Coturnix japonica: one gene and its partners. Each later gene encodes a partner of the first gene's protein in a complex. Links are inferred from orthologs where the notes say so. Each region holds a gene or a part of one and is shown on either strand. Other genes may lie near its edges.

Region 1 (5,401 bases):
TAGGAAGAAGATGACACAGTTGCTGGTTTTCTCCTTGAACTCCCCACCTCTCTGACAGCCAGAGCCACAAAAATAGTTTTTCTTAAATCTGTTTTATTTTACAAGAGTATTTTGTGCAGAAGGTGACAGGACAAACCAAGACTTGATGCTGTACGCTGCAGATCCTCACAGCCAGATGGTGCGTTTAGAACACTATCCTTTGAGTCAAGCATTCTGAAGGTTTTCCACTCTCAGAGCATATATACAGCCAGCCGCGAACAGCTGTATGACAACACGTCTACCTGTCCTTACAGCAGAATTCACTGCAACCTCAGATCTCAGGGCTTACAACTTCAGATCCTTGCAGCAGCTTCTTTAATCCCACAGTTTAATGAGACCATCCCAGCCGCACGTGATGACTTTGGAAGTTTCATGCGGATGCCAGACCGCGCCAATGCAGACTTTATCGTGTGCTTTTATTCTGCTGTAGAGTTTTGTGGTCTTCCAGTCCCAGATGTTAAGCTTTCCATCTGCGTCTCCAGATATCACGTAGCTGCAATAAAGGGATTAAAATAAAACTTGCATTCTAACACTTTATATTGAAAAATGGAATAGAGCTTCACCCAGTGAGCCTCCCCAACCTGACAGTCTGAAATCTTCTCTGCCAGAGAACTGGCATTCATGCTGTGCTCTGAGGCACACCTAGTCCTGCAGAAGGTGATGCATCAGCTGTGAGGTAAATGTGCTAACCAATGTGATTACACCCACACAGTGTTACCGGGACTGAAGAGAACACGTTGGGAAAAGATGAAAGTGCCAGAAGTTCATCTGCAAGTTATAGACATTCTCTCTGCTTTTTTCCTCCCGTTTTGCTGAGGTTATTCTCCACTTTTTATAGCAATGCATAGCTTATGTACATACAGTGGTAAACATATGGGCAGGTTACCAAGGAAACAGGATGAAAAAGATAGATCTCTGAACAGCTAAATGAGGATACAGCACACCAGACCTCTGAATAAGAAAAAGCAGGCAGATCTGAATTCCAGGTGTTCCAGACAGGTTCATATGGTGGGAACAGAGCCTGAAGGGCTCTGGGGAGGCTGCTGCTGACTGAATGCAAACAGTCAGATGCAGGTCTGTGCTGCACCAGGGCTGGGCAAAATAAGGGCAATCTCAGGATACTTAAACACAGCAAAGTAAGTCTTTAGAGAATGGGGAATCTGGACTACGCTGGCTGCTTTTTACCTGTTTCTTATAGCAATTGTTGAATATACTTAGTCCAGTCAAACAAGAAGAGCAAACTTTAATTTCTTCTGCTCATCTTAGAGAGCTCTGTCCTATTACTGAGTTAGTAGGATGGCTGTGCATCAATGAATGTTGCAGAGGATTGAAAAAGAAATCTGGTGTCTGTGCTTGTGAGTTTAAGATGAAGCCCTTTCCCACAAAACTCACCTCATATCAGGTGAAAAATCCACTTGACAAGCATAGCCAGCTACCATGTGACCTTTGAAGATCTTCTTTTTGTTCAATCTGAATCTGTTCTGAGCTCCAAATATCAGAATTTGGTTGTCCATTGACTGGCAAGCCAACCATTTCCCTAGAAGTGCAATGAAAGAGGAGTTGACAGAGTGCCACATACAAAGAAAGAGTCTTGGCTGGAAAGCTTGGGACACACACAAATTTTTATGCACTGTGTTAATTCAGATTTTCAATACAGAATCACAGAATCCTTAGAGTTGGAAGGGGCCTTTAAATGACATCCAGTCCAACTCCCCTGCAGTGAACAGGGACATCCATAGCTAGATCAGGTTCCCCAGGACCTGATCCATTTTGGCCTTTAAAGTCACCGGGGATGGGGCATCAACCACATCTCTGGGCAACCTGTTCCAGTGCCTTGCAATCCTCACAGTAACAATTTTTTCCTTATATCCAACCTAAATCTAATCTATCTTATCATGTAATAAAGTTTCTTGGTAGAAGCTGATATTACTTCACAGAATCACAAGGTCTGGAAGATGGCCAACCCAACTTCCACCTGTTATAACTGTCAGAAGGCAGAAAACTATACTTGACAAGATTTGGGATGCCTGTTCCTACAAAATGCACTGAGAACTCTAAAAAGCTCTGCCTGTTATGTTAACCGCACTAATGAATTGATCCCTTTTTAAGCTACTGAGTAAGTTTTTCTGGTGCAGATATTATAAACTCTCAATCACGTAATTCAGATGAAGGGAAAAACAAACAACAACAGGTAATCTATTTGATAACCTTTTTTGTGGGTACCCTAAGATGGTCACCTGGACTTCTTTACTAGGAGAGTGGTTAGGCCCTGGAACAGGCTGCCCAGGGAGGTTGTGGATGCCCCGTCCTTGGAGGTGTTCAAGACCAGGTTGGACGGGGNTGGATGCCCCGTCCTTGGAGGTGTTCAAGACCAGGTTGGACGGGGCCCTGGGCAACCTGATCTAGTAAATGTGTATGTTTGGTGGCCCTGCCAGGCAGGGGGGTTGGAACTATGTGATCCTTGAGGTCCCTTCCAACCCAGATCATTCTGTGTGATTCTGTGACTAAGGAGTTTCAGGATCCTTATATTTTTGAGACTTATTTAATTGTCTGTGTCATAATGGAATATGATAAAAAGGCTTTTCTACTTTTAATTTCACTCTGTATCTTGGCACCGCATTAATTCTTAACTGAGAATCCAGTGAAGGCAATGCATTACAGAATAGTTTACAACAGGCTTCTGCCCTGAACTCTACATATTATCATTGTCTTCCATATCTTATTTGAACAATGACAGAAAATGGGCTGGATTGTCCTTAAATCTGATCCAGCTTCTAGCTTGGAATTAGACAGTTTAGTTCAGCCTCCCAGAGAAATAAATAGTGTGCTTGCCCCAGTCATGTTATTCTCTTCTAGTTTTTATAAGGTCCGTTACAATCATCTGCATTCAGAAGGAAACTGAAAATTTCCTTCCATAAAATTTTCACGTTCACTGTCTTTCTCCAGAATCTTCCTTTTAATATTAAGGCTCTGCCTCGATTGTTAAGGATGAAATATTTACACTGCAAAGGAACTGTAATTTGATGCTGATAGCTGGCTGAATGCGCTGGCTACACAAGTTGATCAGCCACAGCTCAGCGAATTAGACTGTTAACTGCAAATCTATAACACTTCAATAACGTTGGCAATAAAGCTATTGAATTTTGGCCAACACACATAAAAGAGATTTTGTCCTATTAGAGGGATTTTTCACTTACTGCTGGAGGCGTTTAGCCCGTGTCCTCCTGCAGTCTGGTTGTTACCAAAGAACATAAACACCAAGGAAGCATTAACATACAGTAACACTGAGGTAACTCAGAGTTTCTCCTGAGCAAATGCTATTTGTGCTGCACTCGTTTTAAACTGATACAGCTATGCTGTAACAACCCTTCATTTTGACGTATTTGGTCTTCTCAAAACTATTAAATCCAGATTCGGTCTGATCTTGGAATAAAGGCACACACGTCTTTGGGAAGGTGGGGTTGTAGGGGCAGCAGGGAAGTACAAGATGGTAATATTACAGAGCTATCATCAGTGAGACATTTCATGTCAGCTCGGCCTGAGAAGGCAGTGAAGTTGTTAACCCACCATTTGGAGACAAAGTCACGGCTGGCATCGAATGCATACTTGGCTCAGCAATATACTTGAAGTCTACAGGAATGTCCCTGCAAAAGGAAGAAGTATGTGTTTTAGGAAGGCATGCAGACATTATTCCAAAGGGCTGCCTTGAGACAGCTGATTTACTAAGCTACTGAGAACACAGCAGTGCTGTCTAAAGAAGAATGTGGATAAGCTCAAAATTACGGGTGCTCACCTAGAGAACTCCAGCTGTGCAACCATTTATAGGATAACCTCTGGTAGCACGGAATTTACCCCAAACCAAATGACCCACAGCCTACAGCAGAATCCTGACTCCAATTGGGAAACTGTAACACAAAGATACTCTATTGCCTCCAGTCCCTTAAAAAAAACACCAACCGTAAAGAAAGCAGTTTTATTCTACTCCCTCTGACAATGCCATTTTCCTCCTGATCTCCCCAAATGGGATGCCAACCAATTCTTAATGTTCATAGCTGAACTCAGCTGTGAACTCCCCGGTCTCAATTCCATTTCATTTTATTAGAGGAGTACTCAAACAGCTTCATATCAGTTGCCCAAATCATTTCATTTGTTTATCCAATTAGAATTAGATGCAAGAGAAAATAACGTTTTGCACTGCTGAAAGTAAAACACAGAATATAACACCCATGTTAGCTTTACCATCACTGCTGTAAAGATACACTCACATCAAAAGCAAAGCAGGCAAATTTTAAAGCACTCCCGGTTAAGACTCCTGAACAAACTACCAGATCTTTAAGTCTGTCCTTGTGAAACCTATGAGCGTGCTCTGAACTCTCAGGGAAAGGACATTTACATTCTCCGAGGTGAAGCTGCTCACTGTAATGCAGTCTGACATGACGTCCCATTACCAGCTTTGGCCAAGTCAAAGTATTTACAAAACCCGCTCCAAAATTTCTCTGAACAATTGAAACCAAGCAATTAGTCCAGCTTTAATTACTGGCTTTTAAGGCCATATTCAGGTCATAATTACTTTGAAGGCAGCTTTGTTTCTGAAGGGTACTGAAGAAATACTGTGCTGAAGAACGTGAAGAAATACATTGAAATCACCCTAGATTTAGTAACAATTGTCCTTATGAACTTTAGAAAAAGAACATCGATTTGAGTTATGGTATGTAACAGTTTGATATGGAAAGCTGATGTGCTGAATATATTAGGAGTTATAATGCACTGCAGAAATCTGGAGATTGAAATCATGTACATATGCAGACTGGTTACCATAGATCAACTACAGGTTGGGTCCCCTATTGTCTGAACCCTTCTTCAGCATACAGGATGCTCAGTGCAGATTTTTGCTTCAGAAGAAAGAAAACGTGGTACTGTAACAATCAGGTTGCAATGTTCCCATAGCAGAACCTTTCTGCCTTTCCGTCTTTTCCCCACAGAGTGACTAAAATCCACCCACTCCGCTATTTATTTCAGCCATCAACACAGAGCTCACAGAAGAAGGGCAATCCAATCTCAAGGAAATAACAGATTTGTGCAAGTGACATCCTCCTCCCACTCACCAGAGAGGAGACGTTCCTTAGCAGACACAATACTGTAAATACTTTGAGGAGCTCGGTAAATACATGGGTCTAATTACAAAAAGCTGAACAGAGGCTCTCTGGGAGTCACATCTGGAGACAGTGTTCCATGCCTATAAGCCTAAACCTGGGCTCCCAGGCTTTGGTCATTACCACTGCTGCTACTGACAGTGACAGCAACAGATCACAGACACACTGTGGGTTTTGGGTGACATTCAAATAGCACAGACAGTGAAAAA
Region 2 (5,966 bases), on another chromosome or scaffold:
TGTCAAAATGGAACAAAAAGCCTGAAGAAGTCAGGCTGGGGCTATCAACATGCTACTGGCACAACTGCCTGGAGTTCGGAATGAATGGCACTTCTGACAGCCAAGCATTCAATACTACAAAACCTAAGAGCTGGATTTCAAATGGCCTCTTGTTCAAATACAAAGACCTCTGATTGTGGGGACTGACGCCACGTTAGGAAGAAATGAACTATGCAAGAGAAGAGCTGCAGTCACTGCTTTGGCAAAACACTACGAACCTACGCAGCAAATTCCTCACAAATGAGCCTGTCACAACAAAGATTTATTCATGGATGCTGCACACCACCTTACTGCAGATCTCACATCAACTCCAATCCCAGTGCTGCAGCCCCTGCCCACTGCAGGACTGTTCTTCAGTCCCTAAGGGGAAGCGTATCTGACCACAGTGAAAAGAAACTATTTAAGATGTGTGTGTACCTGTAAGGACATTCTTCTCCTCTCTTGCATTCCCCTTTTACCCAGAAGGAACAGATGTGAGGACGATTACGTTTATAGTAAGGAGTGGTCCGAGCCAGTTTCAGCAGCATGTCACTGGTAGAAGTTGCTTTTCCTAGTGCACCAACTGGTCTAGTGCCATCAGAGTTGGCTATCTATACAGCAGTTAAAAGGCAGGCAAGTTATTATAAATATATCTCTCAATACTGACATGTAATGCAGAATGAAAATAAACACAGATATTAAGATGATGTGGGTCATTCTTTTTCAAAGAAAGTGTTTGACTCCCTCCCTCCCCCGTACACATCCATACACAGAGATCATAAAGACACTTTCTTACCTCTCGTTCCATGTTCTGGGTGTAATACTCTTTATTGACATCAGATTTAGGCATTTCATCCTTAAGGGACAGTCCTGCATCCCGGACTTGAATAGGCAAACCTAGAATTAAACAAACAAAAAAACCCTATGAAGCACAAGCTGAAAGAGCAAAAAACCAGTTGCTAGAACTCACATTAAGCAGAGATAACTTGTCTCCTGCACAAGCTGCCCCTGAATCTCAGAAGAGATCTGATCACAAAGACTTGTTCTGAGTCTGTCTGGAAACAACTACGCCAGTTTCACACACACATTTAAAGAAGCTTTCACTTCAGAAGCAGAACTGCTGCTTCTCTTAGTTTCCCCTCTTTGGTACACACCATATTCCAGGTCAAGCAGACAGGTTTGACAGACATTCTTCAACTTGCTGCAGGTTTGGCACACTTCTGTTTTCTTGAAACGCATACGAACACCAGGACACCAGCGAAACACTGTGAAAGGCCTGGCACAAATCTGAAAGACACAAAGTAGACAAGTGAACTGCTATCACAGCACAGCCAAGATGCCGCTCGAGTTCCTGCATAGAAGCGTACAACTCAAACACGCCCAGCCTCCCTGAAATCTAAGTCCAACTGCATCATCTTAAAGTTCTAGGCAAAAAAGTTCAAGAGCTCCGGATAATACTGATTGCTATTTGCTGCCATACTGTGACAGGAGGAAGCTTTGGGAAGGTCTGGAGTTATTAAAGTAACCTGAATGCTGAAAGCAGATCTACTCAAAGGATTCATTTTTTATTCCAGATGGAATATAATAGCTCCAGCGTGGAGCTATTAGAGACAAATTACCAATTACGTGTAAATTGAGCAGTCACTGAAACAGCAGCAAGCCCAATGAGAGCTTATTGATAAAAAAGTACTGCCCCATTTGTTATGTGTTGGAAAGATGCATCTGCTTCTGCTGCACATTTGAGGAGCAGAAGCAAGATCTCAGCACATACCTTGTCTGTGCCTCAGGTGACAACTGATAAAGGGGGCAGAGGGACAAATCAAGTCAAGTAAAAGCTAAATAATTCCTGCTCTCTCAGTTACAAACCTGTCTTATTTCATACAATAACTAACACTAATTGATAGCTGGCAAAAAACAGCAGATTCAGAGCAAAACCAAAACTGTTGTTACTTACACATCACATAGCAGTAAAAACAAACTTGCAACAGGAAATATAAGATACTCGAGCAAAACCTAATAATTCTCATAAACGTGAGCAAATCTTAACTCCGTTAGAACAACCTTTTACAGCTCAAGAACAATGAACATGGAGATGATACACCTCACATTCCATGCAGTTATGTGTGCATTAAGCTCTCAGCCAAGATAAACTCTTTCGTGACGCCAGCAGATCTTTTGAGAACCAAAACCCACATTACAGCCAGATGTTCACCAATACAGAAGCTCGTTCTTCAAAAGACAACCAACGTACCTTGCATTCTTTTCCATATTTCTCTTTGGTCTGAAATATAATAAATAAGAAGGGAGAGAAAACATGAGATATTAAAACATTGTGAATGATGAAACGTACCATTGAACTTACAGCACAGTGATCCTGTTCTTATTATAGTACATGTAGACTGGCTCACCTCTACTTTTGGTGCTTAAGCAGAATCTCCCCTTGCCTGGCAAAGAGGACCACAAAGATCTAAGAAACTCTCAACCTGTTTTCTGTTTTAGAAGCACCCATTAAAACAAAGTATTATGAGCCCAACTTCACGTACCATAGAGAAATGATCATGAAACAGGTCATTAGTAGCTATTTTTAAGCGAAGATGATGCAACTGCATAAAACAAATGCACCAAAACAAGCCATTTTTTACATATCTATGCTGACAATCGTGTCATGCTTCATAAAAACATAACAGCTCTCAGCAAACTTGGGGAAAGGAAATGTGAGGCAAAGATAATCTGCAGGTATGGCATAATTGGGCTGAGCACTGAGAAAAGGAACATGGAATGGCCTGACTCATCTGGGGCAGATGAAACCAAAGTCAACAAAACAGCACTGAAATTGCTGCCAGCAGCCTTTGTATGACAGTTCAGGTTCATTTTCATGTTATGCACGTTAGAAATGGTGCTCATCTATTTAATATCCCAGCAGCTCGTTGCTTCCCACGTCACACGACTTACTGGTATCAAAGCTTTACTGGTATTTCCTGCACTGCAGACATTACAGCGTGACATCCTGCTCAGCTTTTTGACTGAGTTATTGTTATAAACCTGCACCGACCACCATGACATGATGCACTAACAAAGGCATGAAGTGAACCCTGCAGTGCACGGCCAAATGGCCAGGAATGCACATGTCCTCAGCATCCCCCCTTGCTTGAGCACTCAGAAGCAAAGAGTTCAGTGTTAATCAGCACCCAACACAGAGTACAGGGCCGCACTGTCCAAGCAGCACATAGCACATACCATGCGAATGTATGGGTTTTCTCCGAGACACGTCTGGCACAGAATGGGGAAGTCCTGAGAGGAGGAAAAAGAAGGAAAATGTGCACAGAGCGACCAAACCATCACGATAACAATGGAATCAGCCCTCAGTGCTCACCCTGAATCACAGAATGACCCGGGTTGGAAGGGACCTCAAGGATCATGTAGTTCCAACCCCCCTGCCTGGCAGGGCCAACAAACATACACCTTTATAGATCAGGTTGCCCAGGGCCCCGTCCAATCTGGCCTTGAACACCTCCAAGGACGGGGCATCCACCCTGCCGAGCAAACCCAGCCTGACTGAGCAAGGAGCCAACAGAATCTGCTCATAGAGGCCGTGTGAGCAGCTGCAGCCCACGTCCTTGTTCCCTTGTTCCCTTATCCTTATTATAATGATGGCAGCACAGCAGCCAGGCCCGTTCTAACACCCACCTCACACACCTCACACACACACACACAGGCCACCCCCAGCCCTGAGTGCCCCATGGCGCCGGCCCAGCCCCCATGCAGCTCCCAGCCCCCATCCAGAGCACAGCCCCCATACAGATCACGGCACTGCACTGCCGGCCGGATCCCGTCCCACTCACCGCATCCTCCCAGTTCTGCCTGTTGTAAGTGTTGGAGCCCAGCGATGTCGACATGGCGGCCCCTCCGCCTCGATCCCGGCAGGCGGCGGGACCCGGAAGTGATGTCACTTCCGCTGCGGGATGGCACTTCCGTGCAGGAAGAGCGGCGGGGGCGCTCTAGGCTCTGCTAACCATAGAGTTGAGCCGGAGTGGCGGAATGAATGGCAATAGGGACAAAAGCATTGGGGGGTGCTCAGCTCTTTATGTTCTAATTATCACTATTTCCCCACTAACGGCGGTGTAAATAACAGCGCAGAGCCTGAGAGCCAAGGTCGCTTTATTGAAGGTTACTACATGAAGTTATAAGCAATAAGGCAAACAGCCGCCTGTCATTAACACCGAGAACTCCTGAGCCCCGGGAGAAAGGACGGACAGACGGACAGACAGAGCTGACGGCAATTCCTATCGCCTACAAGCACCTAAAGGGGACAAACCCGGCCCAACCGGGAGCTGCAGCCACAGGGCTCCATCAGCGTCCCAATAGCTGCTTCCATAGGTAGTAGTGTTACTAGTTTGGCTAAGGAGAGAACTCATGGCCAAGGCTTAAGTGTTTTGTTATCCGGAAGGTAAAACAGCAGCAGACACTAGCGTTATACATAAATAAATACAAAGTACACTTCTTCAGCTCATGCTGTGCACCTGTGTGCAACCCAGGCGTTGTAAACGTGCTGACTTGCTGCTCTGGGAGGTGCTGCAGGAGCAGGGCTGTGAGGTGGGTGCTTCCCTTTGAGGGGCACTAAGGCTGCTCGGTTTGCAATGTGGCCTTATCCCTCCCATCCCACATAAGGATTTGAAGCTCAAAGCCGGCCTTGGCTGACTCACTAACTTCACCCTAAGCCAGCACATCAAAGCCCATCAGAAACGGGTAATGAAAGTAAACATTGAACTGGGAATGAAACTAAAGCCTCCCAAGGACAAGCAGTCTCACCCACTTGCAGTGAACTGGCATTCAGTATCCTGCATACACTCTTAATTAAAGTTGCAGTTTGGACTATGGCCGAATTACACCCCATATATATATATATATATATATAAACAGCAGTACAGTGTATGCTAGTTACAGTATAACAGCCTTTCTTCCTTTATACCCCCAACCCCACAGCTGGAAAAGACAGTATGAACTTGGACAGCCCCTGTAGTTTTTTAGTATGCTAGAACTAATCTCAATGCTCTGAGCTTAGTACTGATTGCTATATCCCTATTAACACACATTTATTAACACAAAGACTGACAGGCAGCCTCTCAGGACCACTCTCACCTCAGTAAAGAAACGTAGCACAATGGGACTTCCCAGCTTCTAACAATTCACACTACCACATCCACCTTGCAACACAACGAGCCTACAGTGCGGTTGGCGGCCACTCAGATCCGTGAACACTGCAGTATATCACGTTTTGAGACTGAAGACAAAGTGATCATTTCCTTTGTGAAAAGATTTATCACTTTGGCTAAGGAAACTACATATGCCAGAGTGTTTTTACCCTCCCCCCTCCCCACAAGAACATAACGAGTTGTACATCTGAGTGCCCCACATTTATTTGAGGTATCCTAACAGGAAGCAAAAGACAAAGGAAAGAAAGCATCATGCTGCAGCAACAGACTTGTCAGTAATGCAGCAGGCACTGCCACCTCCTAAAATGGTTGCTTGGGCATAGCTCCGTGTGGGGAATAAGTTCACTTTTGTGTGTGTAACATTAGGTTCGTGGGCTGACATGAAAGAAGAAGAAAAACAATTAGGGTTTCTTTTTTGTTGCTAAAGCCAAATTCAGCCAGGAGTGGTGTGAATCTGGAGAAAGCTAGATCTCTATCTGCGTGCTGAAACACATGCTGAGAGTTAAACCAGCCTGTGGCAGTGTGGGGAAGCAGAGCTTTAGTCAGTGGGCACTACGATAAGAAAAGAGAACAAACCATCCCAAAGCACAGCACCCTCACCCACGCAGCCTCCTCCTGATGGCCTGGCTGCAGCCTGCGGCACACACCCACACATCACACAGGAGCTTTCACAGAAGGTTTCACCAGGGTGCATTCTTTCACTGACAGTCCATCCTGTGGCCAGCCATGGGGACA
Region 3 (5,523 bases), on another chromosome or scaffold:
GAATAGCCACACATATTATTCTCCAATAATTCCTTCATGAAGCATCTGCTCACAGCTCAGGATACTACAGATGTGTGTCATTGCTCTTTAGTGACCCGCTGCACTAACACACACAGCTCCAGCAGCAGGGATCCTGCACACACACCTCACTAGTGACATCTGTAAGGTCCTGAGCAACAGATGAATCCTTATCTCAGCCCAGCACACCATCAAGCACTCTGACAATGTGGGTGACAAGAATTGAGATTCCAGGTTAGCAGTAACTCTGTGGTTTGGCTGGACCCGCACCCCAGCAGATATAGTCACACAGTGCTGCTGATTACTGGTACAATTAGCCTAACTTCATGAGCATCTCCCGGTACACGCCATGTAAAACACAAAGTCTGGATGTAACAAGAAAGATCCCAAGCTCAGAGTGCTTCAGTTGGTGTGTTTAGAAACTACCATGGGAGATTCGTGCTTGAGGAAGCGATGCTCGGACCCATGGTCGGTTTGCAGCAGTCAGCACGGCCGGCAGAACCAGCACGGCCGGGAAATTCCTTGTGGGCCGTGTGACGACACATCAAAACGATACAGAGAGGAGCCCTCCCAAAGCCAAACAGGTGTCACCGAGCACAGTCCTGCCGGCCACGGGCTGAGTCCAACCTCCTTCCATAGCGCAGAATGTACCCGCGTGTCCCACCCCCGGACGGCTCAACACCCGGCAGCACCACGGCCCTAACGCTGCAGCCCTGGAAGCCAAAACAAGCAGCACGACGCCATCCACACCGCCATCCCCAGCGAGCACATGGACGTGCGAGCTCCGGCTTCACGTGGAACGGCGACACGAGAGAGCGGCTGCCACAGCCGGGAAGCAGAGCCCGGGGGATGGCGGCACCGCAATGCCGGCGGTCACGGACACAGCCCCGGCAGGAGACACGGCACAGCCCGGTATCGCGCCCGCCGCCCCGCTCACCTTGCTGCACGTCGCCGTTGGCTCCGCCGGGTACGGGCACGCTGAGCTGCCGCTCGGGCTCGGGCAGACAGCGGCGGCAGAAGGAGTGCAGGCACGGCAGCAGTTTGGGCTCGGCCTCGCGCCGGCTCTGCAGGCTCTGCGCGCACACGGCGCAGGTGTCCAGCAGCGAGAACGGCCCCGGAGCCGCCGGAGTCAGCGGGGGAACCGGGCTGGGGCCCGGCCCAGGAACCACCCCGGGCCCCGCCTCGGCCTCGGCCTCCCCGAGCCCACGCTCCGCCGCCGGTGCCGCTCCGGGGCTCTCCCGCTCCTCCGGAGGCGCCGCGGATGGCGCTGGCGGCGCCGCAGCCGAAGGGGACGCGGCCGCGGGCTCAATGGAGCCGGCTCCGCCCGGCCCGGGCTCGGCCGCCCCCTCCCCGCCGCCGCCGCCTCCTTTGTTTTCCGCCATGTTTCCTCCTTTGAACCCAACTCCCCGCTCCGCTCACGCACTGCGTCACCACGCGACGTGCGCGCTCCACGGCGGGAGGGCGGGGCGGGGGCGCGCGCAGGCGTGGACAGACGAGACGTGACGTCACGTGACGCACCGCCGGATAGAGCGCCGCCCACACCTCTCAAACGCAATTACCGACCGGCCGCGAGCGCCCCCACGCGGGTGGAGGCCGCAGCCACAAGTCGCAGCGCTGCTGATAAGCTGCTGATAAGCCCGGCGCTGAACAGCCCTTATCAGCCAGGAGGGGAGATAAGCAGCCTTTATTGGGCAAAGCAGTTTATTACAGCGCCGTAGGAAACGTACAAACACGGAGTTCAGGAGGGAGCAGCGTTCAGAAGTCCTGCTGGATGTTCTCCTTGTTGGCCTCCCCGTGCTGCTGTTTGATCTGGGATATCTCGTTCTCCAGCTGTACAATGGTCCGTTCAATCTCGTAGTTCTTACTGACAAGGGACACCCAGCTGCAAGGGAATGATTCATAGAGCATTAAGGTGTTTGCCATAACAAAGCACAACACCAACATCAGCCCCAACACAGCTCAGCTGACAGCAGGAGCAACCTGAACAAGGTTACAAGATGCTTCCAACTATTAAACCTCAATGTATAATGCAGGAAATGAAACGTTGTAAGGAAAAAAGGGCTAAAAACCATCAACACGGAGCTGAACCATGCACCCTCTAAAGCACCCTGTGCAAACCAATAGCAGCCGTGTGATGGTTTGCTATGACAGCACTGTTCCCCGTAAGGGGGTGTTAGAATAAATCCCAGCTACTCACGTGGATTCCATCTCTCGTAGCTTCGCTCCTGCTGTCAGCTGCATGTTCTTTCGTTGCCAGTTCAGATCCTGAATGCTTTTCCTGAGGGGAAAAAAACAACATGAAGAGACCTGTGTTGGTCTTGTCCTCCTTCATCTCATTTACTCATGAATGCAGTTTGAAATTGGCTGCCCTGGAAGCTCCTACCCCAAAGTAGGAGTTTCTATATCCCTTCCAACCTCTGTATAGAGCTATGAAAAACCACTCACCGCAACCTCTGAAGCTCCTTCTGGGCTTGTTCTATCATATGAACCAGGTGTCTGAGAGCAGAATGGAAGCAAAGCAAGAGAAAAAACACACAGTTACTAAATAAGATCAATTTAACCAGCCTCACATATAACCCTCCTAGAAGAGCCCAGCATGCAGCCATCCACTAAAGGCAAGCAGCTGTCTGAAACAGCCCCAGAGCTTCTCAAAGCCACACTTCCATGTGTTTCTTAGCCATTTCAACAGTGGCTTCAGGTGAGGAGGATCAGGACAGCATTATCTGCAGCCACCACACCACCATTTCCCATGCTGTCTCTCCATCCCCAGCCTTACTCATTGTACACCTTCCAGGCGTTGCAGCCGTGCTGGGACATCAGCTCCAGGTTCTCAATGCGCACTGCCTGGTGCTCCAGCTGCGCCATGGAGTTGTTAACACACTCCTGCCACGCCGTGATGTCGTTCTTCTGCCCGGAGGATGGAGCCGGTAGTTCATACCTGGAACGGAGCACGGTTCGGATCCCACCCAGAGCCAGACCAGGAGCCCCCCCTCACTCACCTCTTCATGCTGAGCAGCTCCAGGGGCTGCCGGGCCGCCAGGCGCTCAAACTCGTTCCGCATGATCTCGGTCTGCAGGGAGAGGGCAATAAGGGGCCGTGAGTGTCAATGAGGGGTTGTGAGGGGCCGTGAGGGGCCGTGAGGGGCACTGAGGGGCAATGAGGGGCACTGAGGGGCAATGAGGGGCACTGAGGGGCACTGAGGGGCACTGAGGGTCAATGAGGGTCAATGAGGGGCAATGAGGGGCACTGAGGGGCGGCTGGCCGTGTTGGCTCACCTCGAAGGCGCTGCAGTCGTGTGCCGGCAGGTAGCTCAGGTAGTTCTTCGTGGGCCGGTAGCGCCGCGTCTCCTCCTCCACCAGAGCCGCAGCCTAGCCGGGATCGCACCGCCTCAGCTCAGCTCAGCCCAGCCCAACCCGGCTCGGCCCGACCCGGCCCGCACTCACCGCCTCCCGCACGCCCGGCGCCTCGTATCCCTGATCGAAGTACGGCAGCGCATCCACCACCACGTCCCCCGCCACCAGCCCGGGCCCCGCCATGATGGTTACCACTACCGCGCATGCGCACACCCCAGGCCTAGACTCACGGCGCGGCCCCGCCCTCATCCCGCCCCGCCCACAGAGGAGAGGACACGCTGATTGGTTGCGGCACTGCGGCGTGTTATGGCGGCACGGAGCCGCCTCAGCTGCACAGGGAGCAATGAGTCCGGCCCCGGGATGGGGTTGGTTGTCCAACCGCCTCATTGAGGCTCCACGTTCATTTCTTCTGGAGAAATCTCATCTTACTTCCTACAGAAAAGAAAAACAACAAGAAAAAAAGCACGTTAAGCCTTCGAGACGCATCATTTGGACGCTGAATGACAGTTTCACACATAAAACCACAGAACAGCCTGGGTTAAAAAGGTTAAAAAGGTTAAAAAGGGCCACAATGCATCTAGTTCTAACTCCCTGCTATATGCAGGGTCACCTACCAGCAGCCCAGGCTGCCCAGAGCCACATCCAGCCTGGCCTTGAATGCCTGCAGGGATGGGGCTCCCACAGCCTCCTTGGAGAGGCAAAGGAAAGCAGCATGTGTGCACAAAGCGAAATACTGCAGGGAAATAAGCTAAATAAATGAGGTGTCTCTTTACCGAGAGTGCGAAGGATTCTGTTCATCCCTGTGGGCTCAGACTCGGGGATGCTCTCCAAATACTCCAAGGCACGGACCTCAAAAAGGCCTAAAGAGATAGAAGAGATGGATGAGATCCTCAGGCGTTAACATTGTGTGTGTAAGGCCACAGGACCGAAGCCAGGCAGGAGACAAAGGCATCTTCTGCTTAATAAGATTACTGAATAATTAGAAGGGCATGGAGCTATTAACATACGCCAATAGGAAATACTGCTGGGGCAAAAAGGCTTTGTAAGAGTTAAAGATATGAGAGATGTGGAATTTTGTAAAACAAGAAAGCCTCACCTTTGACAGCACTCTTACGTAGCTCTCGATCCTGTATGAACCCTGCAAACATCTGCGTCTCCATGAAGAAGTGCAGGAAATGGCGCACGTTGCGCGACGTGTGGGATTTACGGAATGGCTCCCGCTGGAACACCCGCTCTCCTTTCTCTGTGACATTCATGTGCAGGGAATAGTGACCCACGATCTCCACAAAGAAGTGCACGAAAGCTTCAGAGACCAGGGAGTTAAGAGGGACATCACCTGTGAGGAGAAACATCCCTCTAATATGAGTCATCATTGAGAGGGTCATCTAAAAGAAGAGCGCCAGATGCTTTTCCATAGGTGTACCTTGTAGGCAGCTCTGCTCATGTGACAAGATTTCATTTCTCTCCTCCAAAATTTGGACAAGTGCAGCCTGGAGTTTATGAGGCAGAATTTCTTCTTCATCTGATACCTGAACAGAAAAGTGACCATGAAAGCTTTTTGCATCAAACATATTCAACAGAAACTGATGAGAAACCACAGCCTTGCAACTAATCTGTTCCCTTATCTAGTGATGAAAAAGGAATGCAAGATATTTCTTCAGCCTACAGATATAAACGAGGTTTAACTGATTTCTTGCCTACGTTGGTAGATGCCTATTCTTGGCATATAACACCACCAAGAGTAACTCATGCTGTAATCTCACTCTTTCACTCACCTCTTGCAAAAACTTGTCAGCACAAAGATCAACAATCAGAACCTGGGGAAATACAGACAAAAATATTAGCTCTATGTTGCCATGCAGAAGGAAAAGGACTATAACTTTATATATAACATTTCGTTTGTCCCCAGGGGTAGGGGATGTCACACAACACAAATCACAAGTTTTGTGTAACTTCAGCCTGTCTATAAGAACAGACAATATTATTTATCTTTGAAGGCAAAGAAATGTGCTGGCATGTATCTTGCAAGTTAAAAACTGCCTCAGAAAGGTTTAAGGCTTTACATTAAGACAGAATCCACAGAGATTCTTCCAAGGAACTCAACCTAAAACTGCAATTATCCCTCTTCAGTGTTTTGCCCAGTTCTCACCTC

Evidence for each region.
Region 2: CDC40 (region 1) and RBM22 share a complex: the UniProt entries of both Homo sapiens proteins name them as parts of the postcatalytic spliceosome P complex. The link is inferred for Coturnix japonica from reciprocal best matches to the Homo sapiens genes CDC40 and RBM22.
Region 3: CDC40 (region 1) and BCAS2 share a complex: the UniProt entries of both Homo sapiens proteins name them as parts of the postcatalytic spliceosome P complex. The link is inferred for Coturnix japonica from reciprocal best matches to the Homo sapiens genes CDC40 and BCAS2.

What each region holds. Positions count from the first base shown.
Region 1 is NC_029518.1:60,609,405-60,614,805, forward strand, and holds part of CDC40 (pre-mRNA-processing factor 17), read right to left. Parts: intron 3,684-5,401; coding exon 3,607-3,683; intron 1,577-3,606; coding exon 1,432-1,576; intron 533-1,431; coding exon 355-532; 3' UTR 1-354. UniProt on the Homo sapiens protein: Required for pre-mRNA splicing as component of the activated spliceosome. Plays an important role in embryonic brain development; this function does not require proline isomerization.
Region 2 is NC_029528.1:4,990,747-4,996,712, forward strand, and holds the start of RBM22 (pre-mRNA-splicing factor RBM22), read right to left. Parts: upstream 3,986-5,966; 5' UTR 3,915-3,985; coding exon 3,861-3,914; intron 3,310-3,860; coding exon 3,256-3,309; intron 2,300-3,255; coding exon 2,270-2,299; intron 1,306-2,269; coding exon 1,173-1,305; intron 916-1,172; coding exon 815-915; intron 630-814; coding exon 457-629; intron 1-456. UniProt on the Homo sapiens protein: Required for pre-mRNA splicing as component of the activated spliceosome. Involved in the first step of pre-mRNA splicing.
Region 3 is NC_029541.1:3,876,377-3,881,899, forward strand, and holds BCAS2 (pre-mRNA-splicing factor SPF27), read right to left. Parts: upstream 3,599-5,523; 5' UTR 3,555-3,598; coding exon 3,462-3,554; intron 3,387-3,461; coding exon 3,294-3,386; intron 3,089-3,293; coding exon 3,018-3,088; intron 2,957-3,017; coding exon 2,795-2,956; intron 2,515-2,794; coding exon 2,464-2,514; intron 2,297-2,463; coding exon 2,216-2,296; intron 1,901-2,215; coding exon 1,774-1,900; 3' UTR 1,686-1,773; downstream 1-1,685. Other genes in the region: E3 ubiquitin-protein ligase TRIM33, read right to left, coding at 956-1,400; DENND2C (DENN domain-containing protein 2C), read right to left, coding at 3,772-3,803, 4,145-4,231, 4,468-4,707, 4,795-4,900, 5,147-5,188, 5,521-5,523. UniProt on the Homo sapiens protein: Required for pre-mRNA splicing as component of the activated spliceosome. Component of the PRP19-CDC5L complex that forms an integral part of the spliceosome and is required for activating pre-mRNA splicing.